Oryza sativa Japonica Group: one gene and its partners. The main gene of each other region encodes a partner of the protein of the gene in region 3 in a complex. Links are inferred from orthologs where the notes say so. Each region holds a gene or a part of one and is shown on either strand. Other genes may lie near its edges.

Evidence for each region. The genes of interacting proteins can lie anywhere in the genome.
Region 1: mRNA export factor GLE1 (region 3) and nuclear pore complex protein NUP1 share a complex: the UniProt entries of both Arabidopsis thaliana proteins name them as parts of the nuclear pore complex. The link is inferred for Oryza sativa Japonica Group from reciprocal best matches to the Arabidopsis thaliana genes GLE1 and NUP1.
Region 2: mRNA export factor GLE1 (region 3) and nuclear pore complex protein NUP88 share a complex: the UniProt entries of both Arabidopsis thaliana proteins name them as parts of the nuclear pore complex. The link is inferred for Oryza sativa Japonica Group from reciprocal best matches to the Arabidopsis thaliana genes GLE1 and MOS7.

The regions. Positions count from the first base shown.
Region 1 is NC_089046.1:16,300,958-16,307,635, forward strand, and holds the start of nuclear pore complex protein NUP1, read left to right. Parts: upstream 1-2,477; 5' UTR 2,478-2,599; coding exon 2,600-2,960; intron 2,961-3,300; coding exon 3,301-3,350; intron 3,351-3,762; coding exon 3,763-3,857; intron 3,858-5,136; coding exon 5,137-5,242; intron 5,243-6,293; coding exon 6,294-6,563; intron 6,564-6,678. UniProt on the Arabidopsis thaliana protein: Nucleoporin required for nuclear mRNA export. Functions as an adapter and/or regulator molecule in the periphery of the nuclear pore complex (NPC). May interact with importin proteins and mediate active nucleocytoplasmic transport through the NPC.
Region 2 is NC_089038.1:31,296,655-31,303,417, reverse strand, and holds the start of nuclear pore complex protein NUP88, read right to left. Parts: upstream 4,202-6,763; 5' UTR 4,149-4,201; coding exon 3,702-4,148; intron 3,414-3,701; coding exon 3,262-3,413; intron 2,945-3,261; coding exon 2,822-2,944; intron 2,631-2,821; coding exon 2,486-2,630; intron 1,784-2,485; coding exon 1,722-1,783; intron 1,443-1,721; coding exon 1,229-1,442; intron 145-1,228; coding exon 1-144. UniProt on the Arabidopsis thaliana protein: Involved in the regulation of exportin-mediated nuclear protein export. Required for resistance mediated by multiple R proteins and for the appropriate nuclear accumulation of SNC1 and of the downstream defense signaling components EDS1 and NPR1.
Region 3 is NC_089036.1:23,620,042-23,624,339, forward strand, and holds the start of mRNA export factor GLE1, read right to left. Parts: upstream 2,801-4,298; 5' UTR 2,420-2,800; coding exon 2,418-2,419; intron 2,325-2,417; coding exon 2,178-2,324; intron 2,069-2,177; coding exon 1,913-2,068; intron 1,779-1,912; coding exon 1,655-1,778; intron 1,026-1,654; coding exon 877-1,025; intron 1-876. UniProt on the Arabidopsis thaliana protein: Required for seed viability.

The DNA.
Region 1 (6,678 bases), on a different chromosome or scaffold from region 3:
CCGACGGCGACGAGGACGGCAAGATTGAACTTTTGCTCCTTGATTTATAACTTGTAGCGCTGTCGATGGAGTTGCATGCTCTTGCATCCTGCAGCAGGGGACCTTCACCCTGCTTGTTCGTCTTCCTCACGACGACGAGACTGAGACAAGGCCACGCTTGCCACGGAGTTGGCCGACCGGCTGGAGCGGCGACGAGAGGAAGCGCGGCACCGTGAGCTCACAAACCACGCTGTTGCTGCCCCCTAGAGGCTGGTGGTGACGGCCAGGTCGTCGACGATGCCGGCGTGAGGGCTTGGGCGACACTATGGCGATGTGATACTGGACAGAAACAGCGTGCGCTGTAGATTGGGGAATGGGGAAATCAATCGATCTATTTGATATAACTAGGGTTTAGTGGAAATCAGTGGATCTGATGGGCCTTAGGCCTACAAATAACAATGCGATCCACCTCAGCACTCCTGGGCTGCTTTGTTTTTCCATGGCTCATTTAGCTCGCGAGCCAGCTTGAGCTCGCTCGTTATAGCAAACGAGCTAACCCTGGCTTAGCCCGTTAATAAATACAAACGAGCCGAGTCGAGTTAGTCACGAGCTATGAGCTTTTTGGTATATTTTTGTTATAGTTTTTAGGGTTAATTGGATCCATGCCACTGTAAATGTGGCAAATTAGAAAAATACCACTACTATTTGTTTTATTGGCTAGGTGCCACTACAAATTTTTAAAATTGAAACCATGCCACTCCGTCACTATTTCTGTCGTTCTCTCTCACGTCGTCATCCTCTAATCTCACGTAGGCACGGCGAGGGCAAGAAGACGAGGCGGCCGCCGGCGAGGACGTCGCGAGCGCGGGGAGCGGCTGCGGCCACGGCCGGCGAGGATGGAGACGGACGCCGAGTGGTTGAACAGCAGCTTGCCGACGTCGCGGACGGCAGAGCCAACAGGTCGAGGAGGCGGAGTGGCGGAGTTGCCGGCCGGCGTCATGGCCGCCATGCCGCCGTGCTAACCGTGCAGAGGCTGCATCCACGCCACCATGCCGCCATGACACGCACCGCGTGCTTGACGCATACGAACATGGACCTGGCATTGACAGCCATGACGCGGTCGTACTCGTCGATGTCGAGCACGCCGAGCGAGTCCGGAGCCTGTGCTCCTATGATCCGGCGTTGCTGTAGAGGACGTCGAGGCGGCCGTGGCGCGTAATGGCGAGGTCAACGGTCGCGGCAACATCCGCCTTGACAGTGACATCGCTGTGCGTGTACAACGCGCGTCAGCGCCGAGCTTGGCAGCGACGGCACGGCGTTCGCCCGCTGCTGCTCTCGCTCCCCATGCCATCGCCACCGCCGGAGTGCCGCCGCGGGGTTCCGTTGCTGCTGCTCCTGCTCCCGCTCCCGGAGCGCGCCGGAGTGCCGCCCGCGACCCGCCGCGTCGCCCCGAATCGTCAACTGCCGCGCCGTCGTTGGGGGCGGGCTGCGCCGCGGCGGCCTTGTGCTGCTGCTGTTGTGTGTACCGTCGCTACCGTAAGTGGTGGTCGCCGGGGGAGCCGAGGCGGCGAGCCACCAGACTAGCTCGTCGGCGGGGCTCTCCCTGACCAAGCCACTATGCACGCAGTCCATGGAGGACGAGAGCTGCTCGTGGAGGACATGGAGATGCACGGCGAGGATGAGCTCCTCTTCCTCAACGGCGTCCGACGAGAAAGGTGGTAATGCATAGCGGCAACCGCGCGAGGAACGAGGCCCGCAGCTGCGGCAACCGGCATTGTGAAAATCAACGATGGGAACGGCGCCGGAGGTGAAGAAGATGAAGGCCGATCTCCCCGTTCCCCGTGTCTCCGGCTGAGGTTCTTGAGGCTTCTTGAAGAGGACGTCGAGGCGACGACGGTGGCGCCATGGCTTGCTCCGGCGTGCTCCGGTTTGACGGCGACAAAGACGATGTCCCGGTGATGGCGTCTAGTCCCGGCAGCCCCCACGGCGGCACGGACCATAGAGTTAGGAAATTAACGGGGGAACGACGGAAAAGGCGACGGGATGGCATGGATTCAATTTCCCAAAATTCCAGCGGCACCTAGCCAATATCGTAAATAGTAGTGGTATTTTTCTAATTTGATACATTTACAATAGCATGGATCCAATTAACCCTAGTTTTTATCATAGGTCATTTATATAACAAGTTTTGTGGAAGATTCAAAATATCATTTTTTTGGCAATTTATGTCCCAAATATACTACCAAGCATAAAAAAAATAAAATACCAATTCTATTTCTGCCGTGAATTATTATGGAAGTAAAGAGAAACCGTTCAAATGATAAGGAAGGCAAACCTTGCAGAGAAGGGAATTATCAATCGGAACACATCGCTGCGCGTGTTCATCATACTACCTACGAAAGTACGAAGCCGTCAGGAAGGAAGAGCCCTCAAAAAACGTTTACCACTTAACCCCCTTGAAACTCCTTGTAATCACCATCCCACCCCACCCCCCCTCCGTCCCCCACGGGGCTCTTCTTCCCCCGGTTATTCGTTCGCCTCTCCCAAAACCCTAGCCCTCCGCGAGCGCGCGATCCCCGAAACCCTAACCCCGCCTTCCCCTCCACATCGGCGCCGTCACATGGCCTCCCGGGGAGCCTACGACGGCGGCTCCGGCGCCGGAGGCAAGATCCGGAGGCGCCCCCCGTCCCGCGCCGCCGCCGCCTCGCCCTACGCGCGCCCCGCCCCCGCATCCGCGGCGACGCGCCTCGGCGGCGGCGGCGGCGGCGGCGGCAGCGGCGGGTGGTTCTCCCGCCTCGTGGCCAGCGGCGCCTCGCTCCTCCTGCCCTCCGTGTTCCGCAAGCCGCCGCCGCCGCAGCCGGAGCACGAGCGGGAGCGGGAGCATCTCGGCGAGCCGCCTTCGCTGCCCGAGTTGCTCGAGGAGGCGCCCTCGCAGGCGGAGACGCTCGATACTCCGCCGTCGCCTCCGCCTCCGCCTCTAGGTTTGTTTGACCGCGTTCGCCGCTAGCTTTGTTGGGGCCCTGTTGGTGTTGTGTGATGTTGTGCAGTTTGGTGCAATCATTTCGCATAGGCCAAACCAACTCTAAATCTCTGTAGTCGATTAATTTAGTAGCTTCAATCAATGTAGATCGGCATGTTGCGTTGCATATGGACTCTTAGCTATGTTACTATGTAGTAGCTGTTGTTTATTTTGTCCGTTCTTCCGACGATTGGGGGATGACGGCGTAATCGATGCTTTCATACAAAGTGGCGATTGTCGGTTCACGTGTTGTTAGTGACTGCTGGCAAACTTACAAAGTTTCCTGTTGTTTGTATACACAGAAGATGACATTCCGGAAGAAGAAGAAGAGGGCACCGGAACCGTGGCTAATGTAAGCTGGCTCTGTAAATGCATATTGTAAATTTGCGTATTCCACGTTGTACTTGTCGGATAATAACCTACTAGTTATCATGGTTAGATGTTTGCTATGCTTTTTTAAGCACTATAAGTTTATATAGAAATTAAAACATTGACTTCTATTTTAAGCCGGTAGAATTTAACCTCTTTCACTTGAAATATATGGTCGTTATTATTCTTGCAAGATTTATTAATTGATACTTCTTTGAATGGATAATAAGATAACATGTGTAACCATATGAAGTCTTCTTAAGTTACACACTTACATTTTTGTCCAGTGCCAGTGCTACTTATTTTACCTTGATACCCTATTGAATCTTCCATATGATCAAGTTCCTAAACACATGTTGCTTTATATGTGGAATCTGTCCATTGTCAATCCTCAGAATTCTGCCAAAGATGGAGATGACATTCTTAGAAGGTCTGATAGCTATGACGTTATGGATCTTGAAGAACTATTGAAACAGAGGACATTCACGAGGCAAGTACCTGTTTTTGTATAACATTAATAGGCTCATGTTTAGCAAGTAATTTGAGCAGTATTAGATTTGTTGCTAGCATTTCAGTAACTGGTAGGCATAGGTACCGCCGATATATCTTTTAATTGCATAATACCCCAAATACAGCATACACCTAAGGAACTGAACTTGATCTGCAATGATGGGGTACATCCATGAAGTTCATAACACAGCATCACACTATTACCATGAAATGATTTGTACTAATAATAATTTCTATGTGACCAAGAAAATATAAACCATGAGGCTATAGAAAACATGGGTTTCCCTAACTGGTTTTTCTTTTTTTAGGAGAAAAAGAAGTGTACTTCAGTTCTAAAGCTGGGAACTAAGAAATGGACAGTTGTATGGCATTTACTTTGGTATTAGTTAGTTGTAGAAAATACCATTGACATTTCTGGAAGGTTCTGTTACCTTAGATAATTTTTCTTACCCGTGTCTTCTTTTTCTCATACGTTTGTTTATGCTACCACATTCTCTCCTGTACCTTCTCCCTTCTTTTTTTCTCACTTACCGAGACCAATTTTCTGTGGTGAAGTTATACTTCATTGTTAATGTCATGAACCGAGGCCATGATGGCATAACCACCACTGGGAGGGTAGCCGGGCGGCGCCGGCTATTGGAGAAGGGATGTATATTTAGACTAGGGATAAGAAGATATTAAGGAAAGAAATTATACTAATCTGATTCATTGCTTAATGATAATAGACACAATCCCATCCTTATATAGATTATATAACTTGATCCTTAAGTAAGGACTCAATCTAATCTTTGACTGATAATCTTATCTCTATATGGGCTGCTTATGGCCCTCAGCCTTTTGGCTCAATGCTCATCACAATTAACTTACTTTATTGTAGTTCCATTTAGGCTGGTATACATTGGAGAACACTAAGAAAATTGATACATCCTGCATAGAAAAAGAAGTTCGCATTTTCTTTGTAGCAGTTAATGCATCAGCCTGCAGTTGTATATGATTTGCGTACATGATTTGTATGGAGTAGCAATGCAGTTGGGGGAACACATCTTCTTGATAGTTCAATCCTCATTTATCCTTTAATACTTCCATGCTTCTGTATGAGTTGAAGTGCAATGCCATGTTTTCTTTGCTAGATCCTATTGTTGTGAATACCTGTTTTGCCTATTGCATTGTAACTTGCAAATTTGTTTTGCTAATGTCCAAGTGTACAGTAGAAATGCGAAAACATATTTCTATCTTACAAATAATTTTCTGTCTTGCAGGAGTGAATTTGAATATTTGTCTGAGTTGTTGTTATCTAGAACGGTTGGGTCCAAATTATTGATTCCAGGAGTTGGTAATATGAAGAAAATGCATTTTCCTGAGAAGGCAAGTCGATCTGGAGACTTACCTGTTGATTTCTCCTTTAGAACATTCAACACTTCTGTTAATACGCAAGTCATGTTGCTCACTAAATATTCCTGTTCATATGATGAAATTGATTTCTTTTACAATCACCCATACTGTACTGTACAGAACATAATTTAAAGTGTTGAAGCAACAATATAATTTCTTATTTTTAAGATACTAGAAAAAATGCCCGTGCGTTGCAATGGGTAAATGCTATTTTAATTTTATTGTTGTTATATGGTTTAGCTAGGGTAAAATTCACTGTGGGAATTCGCTTGGATATTTTTTTTTGAAAATCATAAGCTGCAAGAGTCCGTATATCATCTCAAGTTAGCATGCGAGTTTTTTTAATGATATTTCTTATACGACTCCTTCTGTATTTCCAAAAGCAAATGAGCTTAAAATCCAACTCAAACACGGATCTGTATTTCTAAAAGTGAACGAACTTAAAAACCGACTCAAACCCGGATGACATACCAAAATACCGGCAAAAACATCTTCAATTTTTATAATAGTAGAGATATGGCATATTGTTGAGTTAAAACCCTTGACCAGCAGAATAGTTTGTTATTTTTTTTTCGAAGTTGAGGAAAGCATATCATAGGTCCCCCTTATTCCCTAAATTTTTGCAGGTCACTTGGGTCTCTGGATTTGAGTGGGTACATAAAATTGTATAAGTGGGTCAACAAAGTCATCCTACTTTTTTTTTTGGTATACTTGTATAAGTGGTCTGTAGTTGCTTATTAGGCATGGTTTAAACCTGTACTTATGCACATACACATGTTTAGGGGCCTATATGTGCAATTTTCGACTTTAGAAACCCAACTTTTAGTAGTCCCTGGTACACATACTTCTTTTTTCTATTCCTACATGAGTTTCACTTGCGATTCTATCTACATTTGCCACAAAATAGCAAAGCTCGTACCATGAACTATTTTATCTCCTGACACATTTGTTGTTTATACCATTGATATGCCATATGTTCCGTGACTACAAGGGTAACATAATCTCATGCTATTCATTCCTGCAGGATCAAGTTGCTTCACCTGCAGAACTTGCAAAGGCATACATGGGTTCAAGATCTTCTAAGGGATCACCATTACGTCTTAGATTGCATGACCCCTCTGTACTTTCCAAATCGATAGAAGCTAATACAACACAAATAACGAGGCCTCCCACCCTCTCTCTGCTCGCGAGTGCAAGAAATCATGCTCCAACCACCTCTGATCGTCTTGGGAGCAACTACACGACACCAAATAGATCAGCAATATACAAAATGTCATCATCTCCTTATTTTAAGGTTCTGTTATTTCCTACTTCATTTAATGTCTAATTACTTTATGCCCGCAGTATTTCTGTTATGTATTTGCACAAAGAGCACAATAGTACATCAGATCTTGCATATTTGTTAAATA
Region 2 (6,763 bases), on a different chromosome or scaffold from region 3:
CTGGAGTTGCCCACTACCCCAGGCAGTTACAAGAATGGAATCTTTGCCAACAGAACTATACACAAAACCCACAGCTTTGCCTTCACAAGAGTTGCTCTTGCTTTCAGGTTCATTGTTTTCTTCGCAAACTCTACAAAGAGGTCCCTGCATGGAGTATCAATCAAATCATATTTACTAATGACAAAAATGTAGAAGATAGTTACATGTACATTGACAATAGGTAGCTATAGTTTGGATTATCAGATGTCATATCAAGAATGATTGTCCAGTTCTACAAAAATTACCAAGTAAGCTAGTCTAGTATTTTGATAATTTCTCTTTCACAAAGTACAAACTACATCAATACATTACAACAATACAAAAAAAATGGTAATAAAAAAATATCTTAAGTACCAGATTTGCGGTTGTTTATTAATTCAAGAAATTCCATATTCAGTACCAGAAACTAATTTACAGAATTTTGTAGACCTAGAGTAATAAAGTCAAATAGCCTCCCCTAATGTTTTCCGGTCAAAAAAATCATACATGATTTTGTAAGACAGAAGTTTTAGTTAGTGCTGTCTCTTGTTTTCCTTTCTTTCTGTCATAGCCATTGCGAACTGGCCCAGAAAAACATGGGAACTATCTGGACAACTTAATCCATGGTTTAGGTCATGACCAAAACTGAGTACAATAGTAATTATGGCCATTCTTGAGCCAATGAAGCGCAAATCTTGTGCACACCAGGGTTCACATTTCCATTTTCAAGGTGAAAACCACTTTCGGTTTACCAAAAACTAAGCAAAAACGGGTAAAATCTGACAAATTTGGTCAACTCCGTATGAAAACCATCTAAAAACACTCAATTTTCACAAACCAATCCCCAACAGTTTCACGAAAACCGAGCGGCTTTTGCGGTTTTCGATCAGAAAGGTGAACCCTGGGGCGCACTACCAATTCCAAACTGTGGCAGCAAATCGTACTAGCACAAAAGTTTTCATGCAGACATGTGAATGCGGTACATGTCTGCGGTAGACACCGCCGCTACATGCAAGTTGTGGAAATGTCTGGTCGCAAACCAATCAGCTCCTAACTCCTACAAAACAATAAATCTCATATACTAAAAAACAATGGATTGATTATGACCAGCTGCATGAGCACCAAATTCACATTTCTCTGGTCATTGCATTAGCATAGTCCACTAGCTTTTGGTTCGAACAATATTTCACCAAGTCAAATAGAAGCAGACCTGTAAAGTTAGAGAATCATCTAATGATGCGTATGGATGAGCTCTAGACATCAATGCACTATTATCAGCTGGCTGACGTGACAAGTCAGGAAACGTTGCTTCCAACCAAGCAATTGCCAAACGTGAGTTGGTGACAACATTTTGGTTTGAGGATTTCAATCCAAATGAATTAACATCTTCATATATTTCTTGAATATGCTTCTTATTGTAATCGCTGCATCACAGGGAAAAAAAATAAAGTCAAAACCAATATGCAGATAAAGAAAGGGCACCATATGATCATATCATTAAGGTCGCATTTCATAAATACAAGACTACAAAGTGAAAGTGTGAAACTGCAGGGACCATAATTTATTTCCCATAAACAAAATTAGTACAGTATTTTTTTTGTTTTAACAAATTAGGACCATCATGCTGTCAAATTGTTGTAAGCCTTCTTCCCAATAGAGAGAAAAGAGGGGTGGGGGAGGGCAGAAATAAATGCAATACTTACCTTCCAAATGGAACAATGGGGCAGAGCACAAAAATTGAACCATCGCTGAATAAGATGAAAACCTGTAAAAGGACAGGCTTACATGTGAAATTAAGCACATAAATGAGCCATTAAACATACGAAGTATGCCGAAACTACTAAAAATATTACATATGTCGAAACAACCAATTGAAAAGGTGACATGAAAGAAAGTGATGCATAAAGTATCAAAAGTATTCCAGTAACTCTTTCATGAATAGTGGGGACAAACATTATTAGATGTTCCAGAAAAAAAGGGTTTGGGCGTAGAAACCATGCAATCAGCTGCCAAGTTCATTTATGTAGTAATATGACTTGTGACACCCTAAATCTTGCTACAGATGTAAATAAAGAAACTACAAGGTTAATCCCATGTGTGAAGCAAACAAGTACTCCCTCCGTCCCAAAAAAAGGCAACCTAGGTGGGGATGGGACACCACCTAGGACAATGAATCATGTCCTGATTCATTGTCCTAGGTGGTGTCCCATCCCCACCTAGGTTGGTTTTTTGTAGGACGGAGGGAGTAGATTCTATAAGGCTAATTCGGGTAGGACTCTAATATCCTATTTTGTGGTTTAATATTAACTATGCTATGATATTGCTTGCTAAATTACAAAACAATCCCATCGGATGAAAAATCATTCTGGTTTTGTTTTCAGCTAATAAAGACACTGTAGATCATTTACTATATTTTTTTCCAGATGACTTCTACAATATTTAGGGGATCAATATTCAAGAAACATACCGAAAATCTATCCCACAGATGATCACTCCCATATGAGAATGCCACTGGACAAATTGATGAAGCATTCTGGCATTTGCCAGGTAGAATTGGTTGCAAATAGAACTCCTGCTCTGGTTGCTCTAAATCAAATGACAGATCAAATAACCTGCAGAAATAATAACAAAACTTCTATAAAAGGGTCATGCAATAATTATTTTTAAAAGCAAGTGTTGTCTTCAATTAATTTAAGTGTGGATGTAAAAGACGTATTTCCATTCCAATCAAATCCAATAAATAGCAAGGAAGCATAGATAAAGTGGAATTCCTCCATCTAGCATCGATACTCATTTATCAAACCTGAAAACAGCATCTGATGTCAAGACTCCAAAATGACTACTGCTAAAAGGGTGCCACGATGTTTGCAGTACTTTGATGCCATCATTGTTGCTAGGTAAGATCTGAGAAGCAACTGGCACAGTCCTGTTGTAAGGTCCATATGTACAAGTCAATACAATGAAAGAAAGAAGATATGAGTAATGATATTAAAAAAAGGAAGAGAAATAATGATTCAGGTCATAAATCTAAAGAGCAAGGTGAAATAAAATTTTGGAGTTGCGTTCTTCAATACCCTGATGATAAGAGTACTCAGAGAAACCTACTCTTAGTGTTCACGGCTATGAATATGCTGCATGTATATATGCAACAACCTATTGCAGCTTAAATAATTGCAAGATGGTCGGGAAAAATACCAGTACAATACTAATAACATAAGATAAAGCTATAGTGGACTTATGTACCTGCATATGACCTTATCACCATCTTCAGAAACCCTCTCATGCACATACAGAATACTTATGTTATGTGATCCAGCAAGTAGTAGCGATGAACCGTCGGTATTAAGTGATAAATGAGTGACCTTGTAACCAAGATCAGTCTCCGGCATCAACATCTGGACAGCATAGGCAACATCAGCTACTAATTACTACCTCCAGTATCAAAAATAGCATGACACGATATGTTTATTTCCTGCAACACATTTTAAACTACAAACCCCCTAGGCGACACTAAGAATTCCATTTTTTGCACTCACTAGCACAACATTTGTTAGTGAATTGCAAGTTGACCTAATTCACAAACGTGAAAACTCAAACAAATGCCTCCAGTTCAGTGTCTAGAAAGGAATTGCATCACTTTTACAAGTGAGAACTGACACAACCACAAGAGGAAACGACCTCACCTCGGAAGGCACGGCGGCTTCCACGGCGACATCATCCCCGTCCTTCCCCGCCTCCGCATCGCGAACCCGCACGCATATCCGGTGTACGCCTCGCGCCGAAGGGTCCCACACGTACAGCCGCGACGCCGACGCATCCCACGCGGCGCCGCCACCGCCGCCGCCGAGGCCCTCCCCGCCGTCCCCGCGGGAGAATGCGGGGTGAGAGGGGAGCGCCACCCACTGAGCCGCGGCGTAGGCCCTCCTCGGCGACGGCCGCACCTTGGGCCTCGACGAGGTGGAGGCGGAGGCGGAGGCGGAGGCGGAGGAGGACGGGGTGAGCGCGAGGGACGGGGAAGGCGAGTGGCGGCGGCGGGAGCGCGGGGTGCCCAGGGCAGCGGGGGAGTGGCGGAGGGGAGGCGGGGATGAGGGCGGCGAGGACGGCGGCGGCGGCGCGGTGATGCGGGTCATCGCCGCCGACGAGGTCGAGTGCTTGCCGCCGGAGAAAGAGAAATGCGGGGTTTGGGGTTTGGGATGGCAGGTCAGGCCTACTTGTCCATGGGCCTTAGAAACAAATAAGTGGGCTTTTGGGCTTTTGAAGGGAAGTGAACCGGTCCAGCCCGTAATGGCATGACATGTGGGACCTACCTGTCGGGCTGTTCCACTACCTCCGTCCAAAAATATTATATTTTGAGATGCTTCTAAAAATACATTTTTTGAAACATACTACAGCGCAGACGCTCACAACTTACGCACACTCACCCCTATGAATACACGTACACATATCTTTCCCCTACGGGCACTTTCAAAAGATGAGAAAATTGCTTATAGACATTAGTATATTACCATAAAAATTATATACGCGTATGTAAAGCTTTTATTAGTATTTTAGTAACATCAGGTATTTGTTGCTACTTCCTCCGTTTCACAATGTAAGTCATTATAATATTTCCCACATTCATATTGATGTTAATGAATATTCATTAACATCAATATGAATGTGGGAAATATTATAATGACTTACATTGTGAAACGGAGGAAGTAATATTTTTTTACTGTGTTTTAAGGGTATATTGATAAGCGCATGTAATATTGTGTGTGTTTGTGCATATTAGGTGTTAGAAATTAAATGTTTGAGATGAGCGTAGCTCAACAGATTAGATTTCTTATGATTTAGTTGATTAGATTTTTTATGGTGGAACTAACCCATTCGAGTCCAAGTAAGATTTGATACGGGTACTCGCATTTATTTTTTTTCAGTGGTAAGCAACGTAGTGACTTATTTGTTAATCTCAAGATTTGCTAGCCCAGTTTTTTAAATGTGCTCATAAGGATGAGGTTTACATGTGTGTTTTTATAGGGTGAGAGGGTGCGTACGTTATGAATCTCAACATTTTCATTGTTTTTCTCAAAAGGAAAACATAACTGGTGAGACATATCAACAGGGAGCAATTAAAACACCCACTCATCGGGGATTTAGATCCTCTAATGTAACTTTTCTCTGACGTGATGGTTAACATATGAGGCCGAGAATGATAGGGCCTACTGTACACGTTAGTTACGGTAATACTAACGTTAGATATATCTGCTTCCTCCACTGGCACGATGAATACCAGGAAACCCGGAGTTATACATTAATGGGTTGCAGTCATGGCCTTGCCTGTCGGCTGTCGTCTCCAATCTCCATGCATGTCGACGGACGGACCGGCCGTGCATGACGCATCGACGACACCGCCTGCCGATCTGCCTGCAGCCTGCTCGATCCATCCATCGATGATCCAACAGCATCACGTCCCCACCACAAGGCAGGCACTGCCGCAATTGCATCCCTGCAACACATGCATGCATCGGATCACTTGCCGTGGATTCATATCGCAGCCGTGACGGCGTACGGTGCCGTTGCCGTCGTCTCGTACAACTGTCAAGCCCTTTTTCTAACGGCTTATTAGAAAATAGAAATAAATTTATAGATAAAACTTTTATATATGTGTTCTTGGTGACTTAAAAGTCAATGCTGAAAAAGAAGTTACGTTGAAAATATCTCAAAATCAATATTAAAATTAAGTTTGAAAATTTAAAATTTAGCTTTTTCTTTGATTGATTAGGCCATCCGATGAAAGCCTCAGTGAGCTTGCATAGCTGCAGCTGCAAGCTGATCTCTCCTTCATATCGATCCACACTGCGTCTTCGTCGTCATCTCTATGATCACCATGAGGGGAGCTAGCTGATCGATCAGTTAATGCAACCCTGTTGTATATTTGCTCATGCTGGTGCTAGCTGTAGTAGCTAGCTAGATTAATTTGCCCTTTGATATTAGCTTCATGCCTGATTAATTTTTCCCCCTTTCCCTTATAACCTCCTATGATTGTGTCAGTTGGTCGCAGTTGTAAAAGTTTTTTCTTCTGTTAAATTGTTAATATATACGAGCATGTAAGGTTTTCGCGCGTTGGAGAAAAAAAAAATACTATGCTGCCCATTCTGACGAACTGTTTCTCTGCCTGCTTATTTCTGGACACGAGCATCAGCTACGGGCCAGCCAGACAAGACAGCAAAACGTGAAGATCCTAAAAACCTTGATGCATATATAGATCTCTGTCATACGGATGATTGGACAGTATGGCCACTATGTCTGCATCCATACATGAGTGTGCTATGATCATGATCATGATCAGTATACGTAATATTCAGTATAGCTTGGATCGGAGTATTAAGCAATTCATCAAACCTCAGAATTCTAATGACAGCAGGAGTGATCTGTGATCTTAATCCATATATATCTCCTCCTCTGCATGCAGCCATCGTATCAACAGCGCTGACGCGTCATTATCTAATTGCATGTGCTACCTGTTCATCAGCATTTGACAGGAGCGGTTAGCTAGCTGGGCATCCTTACGACAGCAAGATCGCACAAAATGTGGCCAACGATCTGGTCGGATGAATGGTATCAGCACATTTAGTTTTTCTTTAAGACTCTATCAGCACATTTGGTTTATGTTTGCACTTCTTTTCGACCATGAAAAAGCATTTTGTCATAGAGCTAATCTTGCAGAGCATATATATAGTACTGACGAAAGATATCGACTATT
Region 3 (4,298 bases):
AAATATTTACAGTGCTAATGATTGAACTGGAACATAAAGTTACTACACAAAGAAGTACAAAAACTATATAATTGTGTCACAGATAGTTAATTCCTTATATAACACAAATAGAGCATTTAAAAAATAGTCAACCCTTAGTCTCAGTCGCTAATCATTTGACCAAACACCACAGGTATAAGTATGGAATATTTGTACGTTAAACCCACACGATTTAATCAGTTGTGAATAGAATATATAAATTGCTGCAAAATGTAAAGAGCTGAAACCTTGGGCTTGGAATTTCTCATTGATCATTTAAGTAGCAAATTTAACCAAATAACGATGAGGATAATAGCAAATGGTGGAGGAAACATTAAGGATCTTAGTATTAGTCCACAATCACCCAATAAACCTTTATATTGGAATTTGTGCATATAGGAGATGATTGTTTTCTCTTCAAAACTATGTGCACTAGAAATAATCCATGATAAACTGTGTAGCTACTAGCAAGGTCCGTCAGCCTTCATGAATATATACCTTTTCCACTCAGGAGTAATAAACTATATTGGAATGAAAAACTTAGCACTTTGTAAGCCCTCTTTACAATAAAATAAATTGAGTTATGACAAATAAAAATGGCATAACTTTACAAAGCAACCACCAATAAAAATTCAGTCTTGACAAACTAGTACAAGAATATCTTGATATGTGCCACAGAAAATCCTCCAGTAACAAAAGAGAACAAACTAGTACAGAAGTTAACCCTAGTCCCAGAAAATTGCATCACCAAAGACCTTGTAAAACATACAGTTTCCTCAAAATTTGAAAAATCAACAGTAATCATGAAATGTAGATTTAAAAAGACACAGGAGAAACAATTCAACAACAAAAACATACATTTTTCTCTGGAAGTGGACATCTAGCCTTCTGTCTATCTCTTTTCTTGATTCTGCGTATTTCTGTAGTCGAGCAAATGCAGAAACTGTTCGCTGGATTTCACTTTGGTGGCATACCTCCAATGCAGATAGTTTACTTCTGACTTCCTCCTGAAGAAAAAAAATCATATGAAGAAAATGAACAAAAAGGATTCAGCAGATTTAATAAATCCATCATGGTAAAAAATAAAGGCATGCAACATCAGCCAAAAAGATAATTAGTACTATGATACCCAATACTTAGAAATTTAGTCATATGACATCCCTGTTGGCTTTCTATGTTAAACTTCTTGGATCACAATATCCAATTTGAAGTAAATGCAGTATTGTATTTGAAAAATCTTCTTCAAGTAGCAACTAACAGAAGTGATGTATTGTTTTTCTTGAAATTTCATCATGTCATTATCCAACCATATCAGTGTGGCACTACACTAACCTTAAAGGGAACAAACAAAAGCTTCATTCAGGAATTCATATACAGTATAACCTTAGAAAGATGAAAGATAATGGAAGCATCCACATGCCTGGATAGCTTAAAATACCTACATAAAGGTGAGGAAAAAGATATAAAGTTGATCCGTAAAGTGTAACCTAATGCCATGGTAACCCTAAACTAGAATGAGGATTAATGGTAATGAAAATAATTCAATGGTCTATTGCCAACACATCAAAGAAAAATCAGCCCATAAGTACTGCATTCAGTAAGAAAGATATAACAGTATAGATTGATGAATACACACTTGAACTTTCAGATGATGCTCACGTTCCAGCTCAAGCAGAATGCTCTTCTCTAGGCTCCGTTTCTCCATCAGGTGATATGGTGCAATCCTGCCATCCATTTCATCCTCTGATTCTTCAGCATCACTAGGAAGAAAACAAAAGAAGGGGATATCTCACACAATACGCCATTCATTTAAACTTAATTGCAGATAATGTACCGTACTTCAAAGCAAATAAATTGCAATTGCAGTGGCCAAATTTCAGCATCAAATCTTCACCTGGATTCAAGATCATTGCATGAGAACCTTGCTCCAGTGGCCTTGGCCACAAGAGCCCGGGACTCCCCATCACTGTCGTAATCGTCCTCATCCGTGTCATCTTCCTCTTCAACCCGCATCACAAAGGCCTTCTCCCTCACGCTGCCACTGCTAGCCCTAAATGAACCAAAAAAAAATCATATAGAAGCAATGTAGAGGGAAACGATTGCAGCTTATCGGCGAAACCATAAGCAAGGGAGCGCAAGGGATTGGAGAATAGAGATACCACTCCGGCGGCTGCTTGAGGGGCGTGGGCTGCGCGGTGCGGCGAGTGGCCTCGAGCGCGTCGAGCTCGGTGAGGACGTCGCCGAGGGTCCAGCTCGGGCGGGGGTCGAGGGCCCTAGGGCACCGCAGCTCCACGCGCGCGAAGCCCCTGCGAGGAGGAGGAGGAAGACGTAGAGATCAGCCTGCCTGCCATTAACGAACACCAAGCGGTGACGAGCGGAAACGGCGATGGGGGGCTCACATGGCGGCCGTCGACCGGCGAGGTCCGCCCCGGAGCGGATTGGAGCCGCGCCGGCGCAGCAAAACCCCCTAAGTTGCGGGAGGCGGCGGCGGCGGTGGCGGAGAGGCGGTGGACGCTAGTTGGGTCTCCCGGCTCCAGTCCCACCTCCAGCCGCTAATGGAGCCGTGCAGACAAGACGCGGTCTCCCTTGCTGCCGCGCCCGGTTGGCTTCCTCGCCGTCGCCGCTGCGCCCTGCCCTCCCGTGCCGCGGTGCCGCTCCGCCTCAGACTGGCCGCCGCCGCCGGAGCGCGAGGCCGGGATGCGCCGCCGCCGGACGTAGAGGAGAGATGGGCCTTGGGCCGAACACTGGTTCCGGAGGTTTCGCTTGCTTATTTTGGAAGTACGGTTTTCTGAGAGCAAACGGCAATTCGAAATAAAACCCCAGAACGGAACTACGATAAAAAACCAAAACGGAGAACGAAACCGAAAAGCAAAGAAAAACGGTAGAAATTCGATTCGGTGGACCGACTTGGATCGGCGATGCGAGGAGGTCGGCGGCGCGGATAGACAGCGGAGCAGATCGACGCCGGAATGGGACGGGGAGGCAGCCGTCTAGGCCATGGCTGGGCCAATCTGGCGGGCTGGGGAAGACGAAGATGACGCCAAGGCTGGGCCAACCTGAGCTTAAAATGTCAGAATAAGTCTGTTTCACCTCTCTCTCTCTCTCTCTCTTCTTTTTCTTTTTCTTTTTCTTTTTGCCCTTGGTCGCATCGCATCCCTTAACCGTAAAACCGAGTCTAACATTCCAACTTCAAAAACGGGTTTAGATTGACTCCTTAGATGGTTTTGGAAGCGGCTTTTGCTGACATGGCAATTTGACTTTGGTTTAGGTATGCTGACGTGGTAGCCCGGTCATCAAAACAATTGAAAATAGAAATTTGTCCTATATGTAAGTGATAAGAATGAAAATAAAAAAATTTGGGACCCAATTGTCAGCTCCATTCCTCCCTTCTTCAATTTGTATGTGCTTCAAGCCGCACTATGACACGTCAAAGTGCGGCGGTGTGGCTTGCGGTGTGTACAGATTGAAGAAGGAGGAGTGGGGCTGACAACTACCCCTTCCCCTGTTTTTGTTTATTTTCATCCTTACCACTTACATGTGAGACCCATTTATATTTTTAATTCTTTTAATGACTGAGATACCACCTTAACCAAGCCAAATTGCTACATCAGCAAGAACCGCTTTCAAAACCACCGACGGAATGAAAAACTGGTTTTTGAAGTTGGGGGAGGTGTTATATCCTGTTTTGTGGTTTAAGGATGTCATTTGACCAACAGCAAGGGATGAGTGAGGTGAAAATAGACTTATTCCTAAATGTATGATCGGACTTGGATGTCCCATTAAAGAAACATTTCGGGCCTATTCAGATTGTAGCCAAAATAAACCTTACCAATTTTTTTTCAATTTGGCAATATTGCCAAATTTTGATATGATATCTTATGTATTTATCAGAGTTTGGTAAAAATTAAATTGATGCACATATTTAACAACTTTACCAAAAAAAATGGTATGATTTGAAATGGCATCAATCTTAACAACCCATTCATATGATCAATTGATCATGTTATTACAAGAAGCAAAACAACTTAAATTTTGTTTAAAAACACATAATTATATATTATCCCAACAAATAAAACGAAAGAAAAATTATTTTTCAGAGATAACAAAACTGAAGAGAAAAATAATAATGTTACGTAACATGGTTAATCAACAAGTCTCGGAGATCGATTAGCCACTGCATCCGAAGTTCCGAACATCCGTCTCGCAAAGTGCATGCTCCCAGACTGACAGAAGAAAAATTATTGTATGTTTAGTTAACATCAAAATTGAAAGTTTGGTTA